2 linked regions of the Anolis sagrei genome follow. The protein of the gene in region 1 interacts with the protein of each later gene in a biochemical or structural test. Links are inferred from orthologs where the notes say so. Each region holds a gene or a part of one and is shown on either strand. Other genes may lie near its edges.

Region 1 (8,153 bases):
GAGCAGAATAAACTCTATGAACAGAACAAACTGCAGGAAGCAGAAATGTAAATGAATAGCCTAGAATCCAAAGGTATACATCACCCACAACATGAAAGAAGACAAAACCATCTTTGTCAAATAAACGATTTGGTCAAGCCCTTAACATTTCCAAAACCACACATAAGGTTTCCTGAGAAAGGAATATGTACAATAGACCTACAGCAACTTTGCTTCATTTAATAAGACGGAAACCATCTTGAGTAGAGAAGCACAACAGCAAGTTCCAGTGCCACACAGACAAGAAATGGTTTTATTTTCTGCTGAGCAGGAGCTAACCTTGACTGAATTCATGAAAGCTCGCTATTTTGTTTTCTCTCATTCAAGATTAAATACACAGCACAACCCCCCCCCCCCCCGGACCCATATTGGCAGGCGATACATTCCAAGATACCAGAAACCATGGGTTACAGTGAATCCTGTATTGTGACTATACTTGGGCAAGAAGCACACCACAGAATGACACTGGAGGACATGGAGAGGCCCACAAACACTTCCGGCTGGAGGGGGAGGGGGTAGAGGAGTACGTTTTTTTTGGATTGTGTATATAATAAAGTCAAAGTAAAAAAAAACAACAGTCAAGTGTTTATATTTTATTTTGTCAAAGGCTTTTATGGTCAGAATCACTCAAGGATGCCAGCCACAGATGTGGGTGAAACATCAGGAGAAAATCCTGCTAGAAAAATGGCCCTATTTACATTTTGTGTGCAAATTAATAAACCCCAGATAAAGCAATCCCTGGGAATGTTCCCGTGACCTTTGATCAGTCAACACATAGGGAGGTAGACACAGTTTTACAAAGGCGGTCTCATGCCTAGGCCCCTTTCACACAGCTGTATAAAATCCATATTGAACTGGATTATATGGCAGTGTGGACTCAGATGACCCAGTTCAAAATGGATATTGTGGATTATCTGCCTTGATATTCTGGGTAATATGGCTGTGTGGAAAGGTCCCGAGTGACCTTTGATTGATGAACACCTGGGGCCCTTCCACACATCCCTATATCCCAGAATATCAAGGCAGAAAATTCCACATTGTCTGAGTATGGACTCAGCAAACCCAATTCAAAGCAGAGATTGTGGGATTTTCTGCCTTGATATTCTGGGTTATAGGGATGTGTGGGAGGGCCCCTGGAATACCTGCTTCCACATTGCAGGTCCTTCCACATAGCCAGAAGATCAAGGCAGAAATCCCACAATATCTGAGTGTGGACTCAAATAATCCAGTTCAGAGCAGATATTGTGGGAATTTCTGCCTTGATATTCTGGGATATAGGGATGTGTGGAAGGGCCCCTGGAATATCTGAGTCCATATTGTGGGTCCTTCCACACAGCCAAAAGATAATTCCACAATATCTGATTTGAACTGGATTATCTGAGTTCACACTGTCATATATTCCAGCTCAAAGCAGAAAATGTGGGATTTTATTCAGCTGTGAGGAAGGGGCTCAAAGGAGCCATACATAGTTTTACAAAGGCAGTGTCTTGCCTAGTGAGATATCATTCAATCTCCCCCAAAGGGCCCTTCCACACAGCCTGTATTCTAGAATAGGTAAAAGTAAAGATTGTCCCCTGACAGTAAGTCCAATCATGTCTGACTCTGGGGTGTGGTGCTCATTGCAATTTCTAAGCCGAAGAGCCAGCGTTGTCCATAGACACCTCCAAGGTCATGACTGCATGGGGAGCCGTTACCTTCCTGCCGGTGCAGTACCTATTGATCTACTCACATTTGCATCCACACTCAAATAATGTGGGATTTTCTGCCTTGGTATTCTGGGATATTGGGATGTGTGGAAGGGCCCCTGGTTCAAAGCACATATTGTGGGATTTTCTGCCTTGATATCCTGGGATATAGTGCTGTGCGGTAGGGCCCTAGGTTATCTGAATCCACACTCAAACAATGTGGGATTTTCTGCCTTGGTATTCTGGGATATTGGGCTGTGTAGAAGGGCGCCCGGTTCAAAGCACATATTGTGGGATTTTCTGCCTCGATATCCTGGGATATAGGGCTGTGTGGAAGGGCCCAAAGTGGTCCATTATTCTGCTGACTCCTGGACCTGCTGAAAAATTGCCTGGCTGAAGCACTAGGCCACTTTGGCGCTCCTTCCTTCCACTCACAAGAAGGCTTATCAGAGCGGATGGGGCCCTGGAAATGTCATTCTCTGCAGGCGAGGAGGGACAGCGGCAAGAACTGTCCCTGGGACCTGGCAGGAGGAGATGCTGCCCCCCCTTTCCAGATCTAGAGACACGCTTTATCCGCTCAGGCTTTCAACCTCTCCATCAACTACAGTCCGTGGCGCTTCTCCCCGACCCTCTGCATCCTATTTTCCCGGTCGCGAGCCACCAAAGGCCCCAAAATGGACTCCCATCATCAGCTGATTCCTGCTGTGTGTGCAGTCAAGAGGACTCCTGTCACCAACAAGCGAATGAGCACCTCAGAGGCCAACTGCAATAGTCTATATATCTCAAGGATTACGGTTGCTTGGCGAGAAACCAAACGCAGAGGTGCGAAATGGCATTTGTTGTGATGGCAGCGAGGCTGCGGACCACCGGCCTTCCGAGAGAGCCAGGGCAGAGCGCGCGCGCCAGAGAGGAGCGCGAGACGGGAGCGCGAGGAGGGGAGAGCGCGAGACGGGAGCGCGCGCGGCCCCCCTCCCTTTCCCTCCCTCCCCCCATCCCCTCATAAACGGATTCCACCCTCGACGAGGCCTGGTGGTTCCCAAGCGAAAGGCCCCGCTCTCTTACCTGAGGCGTTAGCAGCAGCAGCGGCGGCGGCCCTCTCTCCGGCTTCCACGCTGGACAATAAACCGCCTCGTATCAATGTTTCCCCGCTGTGTTTTGCCTCCGGCGACAAGAAAAGCCCTCTCTGCGTGACTGACTTCAGAGCGACGCCAGTTGGAGGGCCAATGGGCGGCGGCGGCGCCTCCCCCTCATTAACATGCCTCGCGCGGGAGAGGAGGAGGAGGAGGAGGAAGAAGAAATGGAGGAAGAGGAGGAGGAGGAGAAGGGAAACCGAGCCTGCCTGCCTGCCTCCCGTTTGGCTTCTCCCTCCCTGAGCTTCCTTCCAGAGGCTTCCCACGCTGGCCACCGGCTGAAGGAGGAGAGAACGAGAGGAAGAGATCCAGGTCTGTGCCTCCTTCTTTCCTTTGATGCCACCAGCTACCTCGTCACACTAGAGGACGAATCCACTTTAAATCCGATTTCTGCCTCCTGCAGAATTCTGGGGTTTGTAGTTTAGGGAGGAGCCTTTAACAGCCCCACTGGGGCTGTTAAAGGCTCCTCCCTAAACTACAAACCCCAGAATTCTGCAGGAGGCAGCAACCGGATTTAAAGTGGATTCGTCCTCTAGTCTAGTGTGATGAGGCTGCTGCAGGGCTCCTTAAACATCCTCCACCCGTGATGCCAGGTATAGTATACTAATCAAACATTTGCAAGGCTTGCTAAAGAGGCGGATTTTGCTTTTTTGTGTGGCCTTCATTTTAAAAAATTATGGAATAACCATATTGGGAACATTGTAACTGGAGTCTTGGGATTTATTTTTTCCATGTCAGAAGCAACTTGAGAAACTGCAAGTTGCTTCTGGTGTGAGAGAATTGGCTGTCTGCAAGAACATTGCTCAGGGGATGCCCAGATGATTGATGTGTTACCATCCTGTATGAAGGAGCCCCCGGTGGCACAGTGGGCTAAACCCCTGTGCCGGCAGGACTGAAGACTGACAGGTCGCAGGTTCGAATCCTGGAAGAGGCCGATGACCTCCCTCTACCAGCTCCAGCTCCTCATGCGGGGACATGAGAGAAGCCTCTCACAAGGATGATAAAACATCAAATCATTCGGGCGTTCCCTGGGCAACGTCCTTGCAGACAGCCAATTCTCTCACACCATAAACGACTTGCGGTTTCTCAAGTCTCTCCTGACACAACAAAAAACAAAAAAATCCTGTATGAAGCTTCTCTTATGTCCCCTCATGGGGAGCTGGAGCTGACAGAGGGAGCTCACCCTGCTTCCCAGATTCGAACCGCCAACCTGTCAGTCAACCAGTCCTGCCAGCACAAGGGTTTAACCCATCGCGCCACTAGGAGCTCCATAACTGGAGGTGCGCCCTTACCAACAGTGCTACGGATTTTGAAGAGGCAGGAATAGTTGGGATGGTCATCCATTAAATGGAAAACTGCATGCTGGTGAACAACAAAAGAGACTGAAAGATCCAGCCTCCCTTCTGGAAATCCATGTTCTCATTGTAACCTTAGAAAATATGGAATAGAGTAGTGGTCCTCAACCTGTGGGTTCCCAGGTGTTTTGGCCTGCAACTCCCAGAAATCACTGCCAGTTTACTAGCTGTTAGGATTTCTGGGAGTTAAAGGCCAAAACATCTGGGGACCGACAGGTTGAGAACCACTGGAATAAACACAAAGAACTGTGAACCTGAGCATGTCAACTGGAAGTCAGCTATTACCAATAGTTCTATGGATTTTAAAGAGGCTCAAATAGAGGACAAAAGGGAGAAACATGCCAAGAGGAAGGAATGTCAAGCAAACCCTTGTTGAGACAGCCTTCTATCTGGAAATCGATGCCCTCATTGTGACAGACCATGCAGATCCAGAATAGGACCAACCACCAAGACTTTGCCCTTGGAAAACAGTCACACTCAGCCAGGAGTGATAGCCTATGATAAATTCTGTAGACAAAGTCTTTATTTTTGTGCACTGTAAACACTACGCAGTCCAATTTTTTGTGACCCTGACAGGGACCCCCATTTCAGGTCACAACCCATAGACAGCTACCTTTCCAGAAAAGTTGATACCTACGCTGAAATACAACACGGTCTGAGCTCTGTGAGTGCAGTATCTTTTCAAATGAAGTGTTCAAGGATTAGGGTGTTCGTAGGGACACCAAGATGTTTGTTTATAAAGATATTGTCCCTGCAACTCTGTTGTACAACTGTGAAATGTATGTCCTCACTTAGAAAAACCCAGCAGATCCAGAATAGGTCTGTACAGTCATTTGCAGACCCACCACTAGGATTCTACACTTGGAAGAGAATCAGAGTCGGCTGAAAGTGATAGCCAATGATGATGACGATGACGAGGATTATAGTGGTTGTGATGCCTGTGAAATGTGGACTGTCTACTAACATCACTCTACCCTTCTGGAACAATTCCATCAGCGTTGCCTCCAAAAAAATCCTGCAAATCTCTTGGGAAGATAGGCACAGTTTGCCAGCATTCTGGAAGAAGTAAAGACCACCAGCATTGAAGCAGTGATCCTTCATCGTCAACTTTGCTGGACTGGCCAAATTATCCAAATGCCCAATCATCATCTCCCAAAACAGTTACTATACTCTCAGCTGAAGAACAGAAAACAGAATGTTGGTGGAAAGCGAAAAAGATTTAAAACTAACCTTTAAAAATGCGGAATAAACAAAGAGCTGGAAATCTGAGCATTGTAACTGGAGGTCAGCTGTTAGCAAGAGTACTATGGATTTTGAAGAGGCTCAGATAGAGGGTAAAAGGGAGAAACATGCCAAGAGGAAAGAACGTCAAGCAAATTCTTGTTGGGACAGCATTCCATCTGGAAATGGATGTCCTCACTGTGGCAAACCATTCTGAATAGGACCCACCAACAAGATTCTGCCCTTGGAAAACAGTCATACTCAACCATGAATGATAGCCTACAATAAATTCTGAGTACAAATTCTTTATTTCACCCTACTTTAACTGTCTCCATCTTTGCAGTATGTACTAGGAATACTATGAGGTAAATAAATAATATTCAAACTAATAACATATGAACAGCCCAGAGGTAGAGTGATTGGGGCTTTATTTTATAGCTGCACACTAATCTTTGTTGGTGATACAAGTTCAGAGTTCCAAATCCTAATCAACATGGCCACGCCAAAAGATTTCAAGAGTCAAGGCAGCAACAAGAATTCAAATTCCAGGATCAATAAAGCCAACAAGTCACAAATAGCGAAGTCCAAGCTTGGAAGCAAAAATCCAAATGAAGAGACCAAGGTACAGTTCCAAAGTCAACAAATCCAAAGAGTCCAGAAACAGGACTACAGACTTGAAAGCATTTTATTCTATGTTCTCAGTTTTTGCTTGGGAAGAGCCTATTTCCCTATTCCTCTGCTAATCACACAGATCTACTGTTAGCAGCATGCTCACATCTGAATTGTTAAAAGGGACAGAACTCTTAACCCCTCATCAGCCTGCCCTGATGTACTGTCCTCTGCTTGCTCCTCCTGCAATAACTAAGGTAGGCTGGGAAGACTGGTAGGAGCTCCTGGTCTCCAATTCCAGTACTGTCCTTTTTACAAACCCTTGTCCTCACTGTCAGAGGGGCTCAGGACACCTGTGTTCCTTCATGGCAGGAGGTTGGGCTGATACCTCTATGATCTCTTCCAGCCTATGATTCTCTTATTTTAATATACCACAGCTGTTGCAGATGACTGCATAAGCTCCCTTACCATCCATTTTTAGCAAATCAGAACTATGGGCTTTCCTCTCAAAGCCCACATGCAAAACACCAGTTGTCTCTCCTAGAGATTATCTCCCTGCTTCTTGCTGATAGCACAGGTGATCCTTTCTGATTGCAGCAGACTGGATAAGCAACAGCCAGGCACTAGTATAGGGCTCTGTAGCCAAACTAGCAGCTTGAGGACAAGCCATCCCCTTCCCTTGTGAAGATGGCAGTGTCTGGACAAGGGATTTGACTGAAACAGATTTGATTCAGCTGTCTAGACTGCTATTATGCAACTGGATACTTTGGAGTATCCTACAAACCTTGTAGTATCCACTGACATTGCTTAGTGGGGCAAAATCCGATTAAGGCAGTGGTTCTCATCTCGAAGTTTAAGATCTTCTGGGGAGGCCCTGCTCTCGACCCCGCCACTATCACAAGGGAGGTTGGCGGGGACGAGAAGCAGGGCCTTCTCAGTGGTGGCCCCTCACCTGTGGAACTCACTCCCTGGGGAGATTAGATCAGCGACTTCCCTTCTGGCGTTCCGGAAAAAATTGAAGACCTGGATATGGGACCAAGCTTTTGGACATTCTGGCAGCTAAAGTAAAGATCTGACGATAAACAAGGACAGATGGAATGGAATGGATATACGGAACTCTGAACACTGAGCATGAGATTGTTTTGCTATTTCATTATGTATTGATGTTTTTAATTTGTTAACTGTTTGAATTGCTTCTCTGTATTGTTTGTTAATTGATTCAGGCATTGAATTATGCCTTCGTCTGTAAGCCGCCCTGAGTCCCCCTTGGGATGAGAAGGGCGGGGTAGAAGTAATTGAAATAAATGAAATAAATAAATAAATTCTCACATGTAGGTCCCCAGATGTTTTGACCTACAACTTCCAGAAAGCCCAGCCAGTTTACCAGCTGTTAAGATTTCTGGGAGTTGAAGGCCAAAACATCTGGGGACCCACAGTCTTAGAACCACTGGATTAAGACCTGAAAACCAGAAATACTCCCAGGAATTTTCTGTGTATCATCAGGCAATACTACAGTCGGAAACAATATTTGTCTTTAACCCCATGTACCCCAAATTTCAATCATTTGGGGTCCTTCCACACAGCCCTGTATCCCAGAATATCAAGGCAGAAAATCCCACAGTATCTGCGTTGGAACTGGTTTATCTGAATCCACACTGAGATATTGTGAGATTTTCTGCCTTGATATTCTGGAATATAGGGCTGTGTGGAAGGGCTCTTACTCTACTTCATTCTCTGCAAACCTCCCAACAAGCTTTGTAGCTAAACATAAACTGGATTATATGGCAGTGTGGACTCAGATAACCCAGTTCAAAGCAGATATTGTGGTTTATCTGCCTTGATATTCTGGGTTATATGGCTGTGTGAAAGGCCCAGAATTGATTGTGTACATAAGCCCTGCTTCAGCACGTGTAAGTTAAACCTTTACACAGAGATCTGAAGAGAGCTTTATAACACTGGCTGAAGGCAGATACAGAGTTTCTGTGACTGGAAACCTGTCTTATGGTGGTTGTCCATCATGGGAGCTAGGTAACAGCCAGCTGAATAAGATTACAAGACCTTCTTGAAACCTTTACAGTTAACAAATATCTATGCTGCTGCTGGATGTTTTGGGA
Region 2 (7,882 bases), on another chromosome or scaffold:
ATGTGTTTAAATGTATTTTTGTTTGTTGGTTTTTTAAGTATCTTTCGCTGTGTTTTTCAATGTTTTTATGAGTGATGATCACTCGTTAGCATGATAGGTGTATTGTGTCCAAATTTTTGAGTTATGCTAATCCCACAAACGAGCATTACATTTTTATTTATATAGACACACACACACGCAAACACACATATACACATATACACAAATATACACACACAAAACTCATATACACAGACTGGGCCACAGTAACGCGTGACAGGGGATGGCTAGTGTCAAATAAGTTACATATCTTATACTATGGGACCTCTAGCAACCCTACTTGTCAATCAATGCTTGGCCCGTGTAACATATTCTTTGCAATCCACATTATTTACCTCCCCACTTAAATGCATGTTACAATTGTCAGTCCTATAAAGGGATAAGCTTTTCCAACCCCAAATAAGGGTGATCTTTTATAATAAAGGACATCGAGTAACTCTACTTGTGGCTCAATACTCAGCATCACACTCAGTGCATTACAACTGTCAGTCCTACTAATAAAAGGAAACCTTCCTGGGCATTTGTTTATATGTACCAAGAGACATCTGGCAGTCCTGCTAATGGAGAATGCTCAGCACATGCATGTTTCCCTTCGGGGCGTAGAAATTCCTGTTGTTTATCTCTCCAGCTAGTTCCCACCCAAAGGCGTGTTTTTACTTGCAAGTCCTATAAAAGGACAAGCTTTCTGGCCAATCTCTTATATATGAAGGAACTTATGGATCAGAGCTTGGCACTTGTGTTTCCCTATAGGGCACAGAAACCCCCTACAACTCATTGTTTACCTCTTCAGTGAGCACCCAATGAAAGAACACTTTAGTTGTAAGTTTTTTGGGCTGTATGGCTATGTCCCAGAAGCATTCTCTCCTGACGTTTCACCTGCATCTATGGCAGGCATCCTCAGAGGTTGTGAGATGCCTGCCACAGATGCAGGAGCAACATCAGGAGAGAATGCTACCGAAATGTAGCCTGAAAAACTTACAACAACCCTGTGATTTCCGCCATTAAAGCCTTCGACAATACGAAAGTACGCTTTTCAGTCTTTTAAAAAAGACAACTTTTATGGCTATCTAATAAGAGGCATCATTTATATACGTACTAAGGGGCATTTAGTAACCTTACTTGTGGATCAATGCTCGGCACATTGAAATCCTGCACAACCTATTATTTACCTCCCCAGCTAGTTTTCAAATGTGGTGGAGTCCCCTTCTCTGGAGGATTTTAAACAAAGGCAGGATAGCCATCTTTCGGGAGTGCTTTGATTGTGTTCTCCTGCATGGCAGAATCGGGTTGGACTGGATGGCCTTTGGGGACCCCTCCTATCTCTTATCTCATTTCAATTCTATGAAATGAGCACTCCCTGCAATGGAGAATGAATTCAGTATGATACTGCTTTGACTGCCATGGCTCAATGCTATGGAATAATAGGAGTTGTAGTTCTACAAGGTCTTGAGCCTCCTCTGCCAAAGAGTGCTGGTGCCTCACCAAACTACAAATCCCAGGATCCCATAGCATTAAAGTGGTGCAAACTGTATTCTTTGCTTAGTGTAGATCAATTTCTGGTCTTAAGTAAGATACAAGAAACTTGCCAAACTACAAATCCCAAGATTTCATAGTACAGTGTGCATCTGCACTGTCAAATTAACATAGTTTGACACCAATCTTAACTGCCATGGCTTAGTATTATCCTGGGAAGTGTAGTTTTCAAAGGTCTTTAACCATCTCTGCCAGAAAGGCCTTGCGCCTCACCACACTACAGATCCTAAGATTTCATAGTACAGGGTGCATATGAACTGTCGAATTAGCATAGTTTGATGCCGATTGTATGTGCCATGATTCCATGTTATCCTGGGAAGTGTAGTTTTCAAAGGTCTTTAACCTTTTCTGTTACAGAGGGCTTGTGCCTCACCAAACTACAGATCCCAAGATTTCACAGTATAGGGTGCATCTACACTAGAATTAATACAGTTTGACACCAATCTTAACTGCCAGGGCTCAATATTATCCTGGGAAGTGTAGTTTTCAAAGGTCTTTAACCTTCTCAGCCAAAGAGGGTTTGTGCCTCACCAAACTACAGATCCTAAGATTTCATAGCACAGGGTGCATCTACACTGTAGAATTAATACAGTTTGACACCAATCTTAACTGAACAGGGCTCAATATTATCATGGGAAATGTAGTTCTTTAACCTTCTCAGCCAAAGAGGGCTTGTGCCTCACCAAACTACAAACTACAGATTTTACAGTATAGGGTGCATCTACACTGTAGAATTAATACAGTTTGACACCAATCTTAACTGAACAGGGCACTATATTATCCTGGGAAGTGTAGTTTTAAAGGTATTTAACCTCTGCCCAAAAGGGAAAACTACAGATCCCAGGGTCCCAAACTGGATTAAATGCATAGTGTGGATGCACAAATATAGAACATGGAGGGAAACTCGGATTCCCCTTCTACACTGCAGTATAAAATCCAGATTATCTGATTTGAACTGGATTTTATGGCAGTGTGGACTCACATAATCCAGTTCAAAGCAGATAATGTGGATTATCTGCTTTGATAATGTAGTGTAGAAGGGGCCTGAAGGTGCATCTCTACACTGCTTGGCATCACTTCCAATTGCCATGACTCATTGCTCTTGGAACCCCTGGGATTTGTAGTTTGCTGATGCAGGGAAGGCTCAAGACCTTGTGAAAACTACACATCCCAGGATCCCATAGTATTGAGCCAGGGTATTGCTTCTATCCTAGATGCAGCCCAGGATAAATCAGTGCCAAAGCACTAGCCCTGTTCTCCTTAGAGGCAGCTCCAGAAGGTTGCAAAGAGGAGGAAGCAATAGGTTTGCAATGCAAGCAGACACTGTGCAATTTGGAAACAGGCAAAGCCCTTGCTCATTGGCCCCCATTATTTATATTATATTTCCCACTCACCCCCTCCCCACTTACTCTGTACCCGAAGCCGTAAGATCCCTCGATGGCCCTCCTCCTCCTCTTCCTCCTCCTCTTCGGTGTGTTTCTTCCTGCTCTGAGAAGACACTCCCTTCCCGTCTCTGACACCAAGGCTTTCCCATCAGCCCTCGGCCCCGTTACCTTCCCCTTCCCATGTTCCCAATACTCAGCTATGAGAGTCAATGCAAGCCCAGGCGCCGCGCCACCTGCTGGCCGCTTCCTCATATTGCACCCTCCAAGGGGATTCCCCCCCCCCCCAAGGCAAAGCTGTATACAGGCAGTCCTTTAGTTACAGACATATACTGTATATGGAAATGCGAAAGACTGCTCCAACTTCCGTACAGTGGCCCTTATTTCTCATGCCAGTAAGGTAATGCTCAAGATCCTGCAAGGAAGACTCCAGCAATACATGGAGCAAGAGTTGCCAGATGTTCAAGCTGGGTTTAGAAAAGGCAGAGGAACGAGAGACCAGATTGCCAATATCCGCTGGATAATGGAGAAAGGCAGGGAGTTTCAGAAAAACATCTATTTCTGCTTCATTGACTATTCTAAAGCCCTTGACTGTGTGGATCATAATAAATTGTGGCAAGTTCTTGGTGGGATGGGCATTCCAAGCCACCTTGTCTCTCTCCTGAGGAATCTGTACAAGGACCAAGTAGCAACAGTCAGAACTGACCACGGAACAACAGACTGGTTCAAGATTGGGAAAGGCGTACGGCAAGGCTGCATCCTCTCACCCAACCTTTTTAACTTGTATGCAGAACACATCATGCGATGTGCGGGGCTGGATGAATGCAAAGCTGGGGTGAAAATTGCTGGAAGAAACATCAACAACCTCAGATATGCAGATGACACCACTCTGATGGCCGAAAGCGGGGAGGAGCTGAGGAGCCTTCTAATCAAGGTGAAAGAAGAAAGCGCAAAAGCCGGGTTGCAGCTAAACGTCAAAAAAACCAAGATTATGGCAACAAGAATGATTGACAACTGGAAAATAGAGGGAGAAAATGTGGAGGCCGTGACAGACTTTGTATTTCTAGGTGCAAAGATTACTGCAGATGCAGACTGTGGCCAGGAAATCAGAAGACGCTTACTTCTTGGGAGGAGAGCAATGTCCAATCTCGATAAAATAGTAAAGAGTAGAGACATCAGACTGGCAACAAAGATCCGCCTAGTCAAAGCCATGGTATTCCCTGTAGTAACCTACGGATGTGAGAGCTGGACCTTGGGGAAGGCTGAGCGAAGGAAGATCGATGCTTTTGAGCTGTGGTGTTGGAGGAAAGTTCTGAGAGTGCCTTGGACTGCGAGAAGATCCAGCCAGTCCATCCTCCAGGAAATAAAGCCCGGCTGCTCACTGGAGGGAAGGATACTAGAGGCCAAGATGAAGTACTTTGGCCACATCATGAGGAGACAGCAAAGCCTAGAGAAGACAATTATGCTGGGGAAAGTGGAAGGAAAAAGGAAGAGGGGCCAACCAAGGGCAAGGTGGATGGATGGCATCCTTGAAGTGACTGGCTTGACCTTGAAGGAACTGGGGGTGGTGACGGCCGACAGGGAGCTCTGGCATGGGCTGGTCCATGAGGTCACGAAGAGTCGGAGACGACTGAACGAATGAACACAACAACAACTGTATATATGCTGTCGCACGCTGGGCCTGTGCATAAGACTGTAGACAGGACATAAATTCTGTGTGCCCAACGGGACGCCGGGGCTGCCTCAGATTAAAGGCCTTTGGATTTCCTTAAACAGAGTCTTTAGATTGCTTAAAGGTTCAACAATTTCTTTATTCATGAAAACAAACAAGTACTTTAATGCTTTCTTAACAGTCTATTGGCTCTCTATCAATCTTGTCCACAGGAACAGGCACTATCTTCATAAACTGTATTTTAGCTAATAGGGAAATCCTTAACTTCTAATCTGGGCAGTCTGCCTTTGCCTCTGTTGGCGTGGAGCCCCTGCACCCGGTACCAACTGTGCCTGGCTTCCGCGAGTGACCCTTACCAAGCAGAGCTTTGTAGCCCCTTTTACTCTCAGTGTGATAAAAACCTCAAAAATTACATATGGGTCTGGTTTTTTTTGTCATGTCAGGAGAGACTTGAGAAATTGCAAGTCGCTTCTGGTGTGAGAGAATTGGCCGTCTGCAAGGATGTTGCCCAGGGGATGCCCAGATGAATTGATGTTTTTAGCATCCTTGTGGGAGGCTTCTTTCATGTCCCCACATAAGGAGCTGGAGCCAGGCATTCTCATGGTGGTTCACGAAAAGGCCTTACTGGTGCATTATTTAAACTGTCATGTTTATTCATATCATGATCTGATCACCATACTCAATATATCCCATATGCATGGGGGTATTGGGGTAATGATACAAAAGGTTTGCTAGGCTAGACCCTCTTTCACTCAGACTCAGCCCCCCCCGAAACTCAGCCCCCCCCAACCCCCTCCCGAAATTTTTTTAGCCCCCCTCGAAACGAAATCCTGGCTACGGGCCTGGCTGGAGCTGATAGAGGGAGCTCATCCGCCTCTCCCTGGATTCAAACCTGCGACCTGTCAGTCCTGCCAGCACAGGGGTTTAACCCACTGCGCCACTCCTAATAACTTGTGACATACGTTCCAGTTATTATTATTATTATTATTATTATTATTAATAATAATAATAATAACTGGAACTTATGTCACAAGTACCACCTGCCAGCAGTAAAGAATTGGTGGGATCATAAACCTGCAAAGGTAGTGGAAAATGAACATGCAAAATTACAGTGGGACTTTCGAATCCAGACTGACAAAGTTTTGGAACACAATACACTAGACATCAGGATAGTGGAAAAGAAAAAAAAAAAGATTTATTGATATCACCATACCAGGTGAGAGTCGCATTGAAGAAAGACAACAGGAAAAACTCATCCATTATCAGGACCTCAAAATCGAACTGCAAAGACTCTGGCATAAACCAGTACGGGTGGTCCCAGTGGTCATCGGCACACTGAGTGTCGTGCCAAAAGATCTCAGCCAGCATTTGGAAACAATAAATATTGACAAAATCACAATCTGTCAACTGCAAAAGGCCACCTTACTTGGATCTGTGCGCATCATCCGAAAATACATCACACAGTCCTAGACGCTTGGGAAGTGTTCGACTTGTGATTTTGTGATACGAAATCCAGCATATAGATCTCGTTTGCTGTGATATACTGTGCTTTTGTGTCAGCAAAATAATAATAATAATAATAATAATAATAATAATAATAATGTTACCCACCTCTCTTCAAGGCTTGAGGCAGGGTAAATCATAGTTAAAAGAAATATGTAGAAACAGAAGACCATTGAAAAGCATATATTAAAAAGACATAGTCCTAAGAGTACATCACATCAAAATCATGCATAACAATAACATTTACTGGGTATGCTGACCAAAAGAGTTGGGTCTTAGTTCTATTATATAATATTGAAATGCTTTACAAATAACACTGTACTCTCCATTACAGGGTAGGAAATTGTAGAAAGTTAGAGGGCTATATTAGCCCTTTGGGCAACTTTTGTTTGTGGGGCTGCATACATCCCACAGCAAAATAGAGAGAAAAATCCAATTTCTTGTCCCAAGCTCTCTGATGCCCTCTAGAAGCGGAGAATGTTTTTGCCATTTGTAGGGGACATTTTAGGCTCAGAAAATGAACAGAAGTAACTTCTAGTTTTTAAAAAGGCTGTTAAAATGCAGTTTTCCCAAACTTTTTCAAACCATTTTTTAAAAATCCCTGGATGGCTTTTGGGGCCACAAACACAGCCTTGCCTCCTGCTTTACAATTTTTTTTAGTGATGGAGCGAGAGTTGCCAGATGTTCAAGCTGGGTTTAGAAAAGGCAGAGGAACCAGAGACCAGATTGCCAATATCCGCTGGATAATGGAGAAAGGCAGGGAGTTTCAGAAAAACATCTACTTCTGCTTCATTGACTATTCTAAAGCCTTTGACTGTGTGGATCATAATAAATTGTGGCAAGTTCTTGGTGGGATGGGCATCCCAAGCCACCTTGTCTCTCTCCTGAGGAATCTGTACAAGGACCAAGTAGCAACAGTCAGAACTGACCACGGAACAACAGACTGGTTCAAGATTGGAAAAGGCGTACGGCAAGGCTGCATCCTCTCACCCAACCTTTTTAACTTGTACGCAGAACACATCATGCGATGTGCGGGGCTGGATGAATGCAAAGCTGGGGTGAAAATTGCTGGAAGAAACATTAACAACCTCAGATATGCAGATGACACCACTCTGATGGCCGAAAGCGAGGAGGAGCTGAGGAGCCTTCTAATCAAGGTGAAAGAAGAAAGCGCAAAAGCCGGGTTGCAGCTAAACGTCAAAAAAACCAAGATTATGGCAACAAGAATGATTGACAACTGGAAAATAGAGGGAGAAACCGTGGAGGCCGTGACAGACTTTGTATTTCTAGGTGCAAAGATTACTGCAGATGCAGACTGTAGCCAGGAAATCAGAAGACGCTTACTTCTTGGGAGGAGAGCAATGTCCAGTCTCGATAAAATAGTGAAGAGTAGAGACATCAGACTGGCAACAAAGATCCACCTAGTCAAAGCCATGGTATTCCCTGTAGTAACCTACGGATGTGAGAGCTGGACCTTAGGGAAGGCTGAGCGAAGGAAGATCGATGCTTTTGAGCTGTGGTGCTGGAGGAAAGTGCTGAGAGTGCCTTGGACTGCGAGAAGATCCAACCAGTCCATCCTCCAGGAAATAAAGCCCGACTGCTCACTGGAGGGAAAGATACTAGAGACAAAGTTGAAGTACTTTGGCCACATCATGAGGAGACAGGAAAGCCTAGAGAAGACAATTATGCTGGGGAAAGTGGAAGGCAAAAGGAAGAGGGGCCGACCAAGGGCAAGATGGATGGATGGCATCCT

What was found.
Region 2: the proteins of SORBS1 (region 1) and FLOT1 form a complex in vitro, tested with the Homo sapiens proteins (2 studies listed by BioGRID). The link is inferred for Anolis sagrei from reciprocal best matches to the Homo sapiens genes SORBS1 and FLOT1.

What each region holds. Positions count from the first base shown.
Region 1 is NC_090023.1:141,372,178-141,380,330, reverse strand, and holds the start of SORBS1 (sorbin and SH3 domain-containing protein 1), read right to left. Parts: upstream 3,204-8,153; 5' UTR 2,787-3,203; intron 1-2,786. UniProt on the Homo sapiens protein: Plays a role in tyrosine phosphorylation of CBL by linking CBL to the insulin receptor. Required for insulin-stimulated glucose transport. Involved in formation of actin stress fibers and focal adhesions.
Region 2 is NC_090022.1:21,579,375-21,587,256, reverse strand, and holds the start of FLOT1 (flotillin-1), read right to left. Parts: upstream 3,060-7,882; 5' UTR 2,982-3,059; intron 1-2,981. UniProt on the Homo sapiens protein: May act as a scaffolding protein within caveolar membranes, functionally participating in formation of caveolae or caveolae-like vesicles.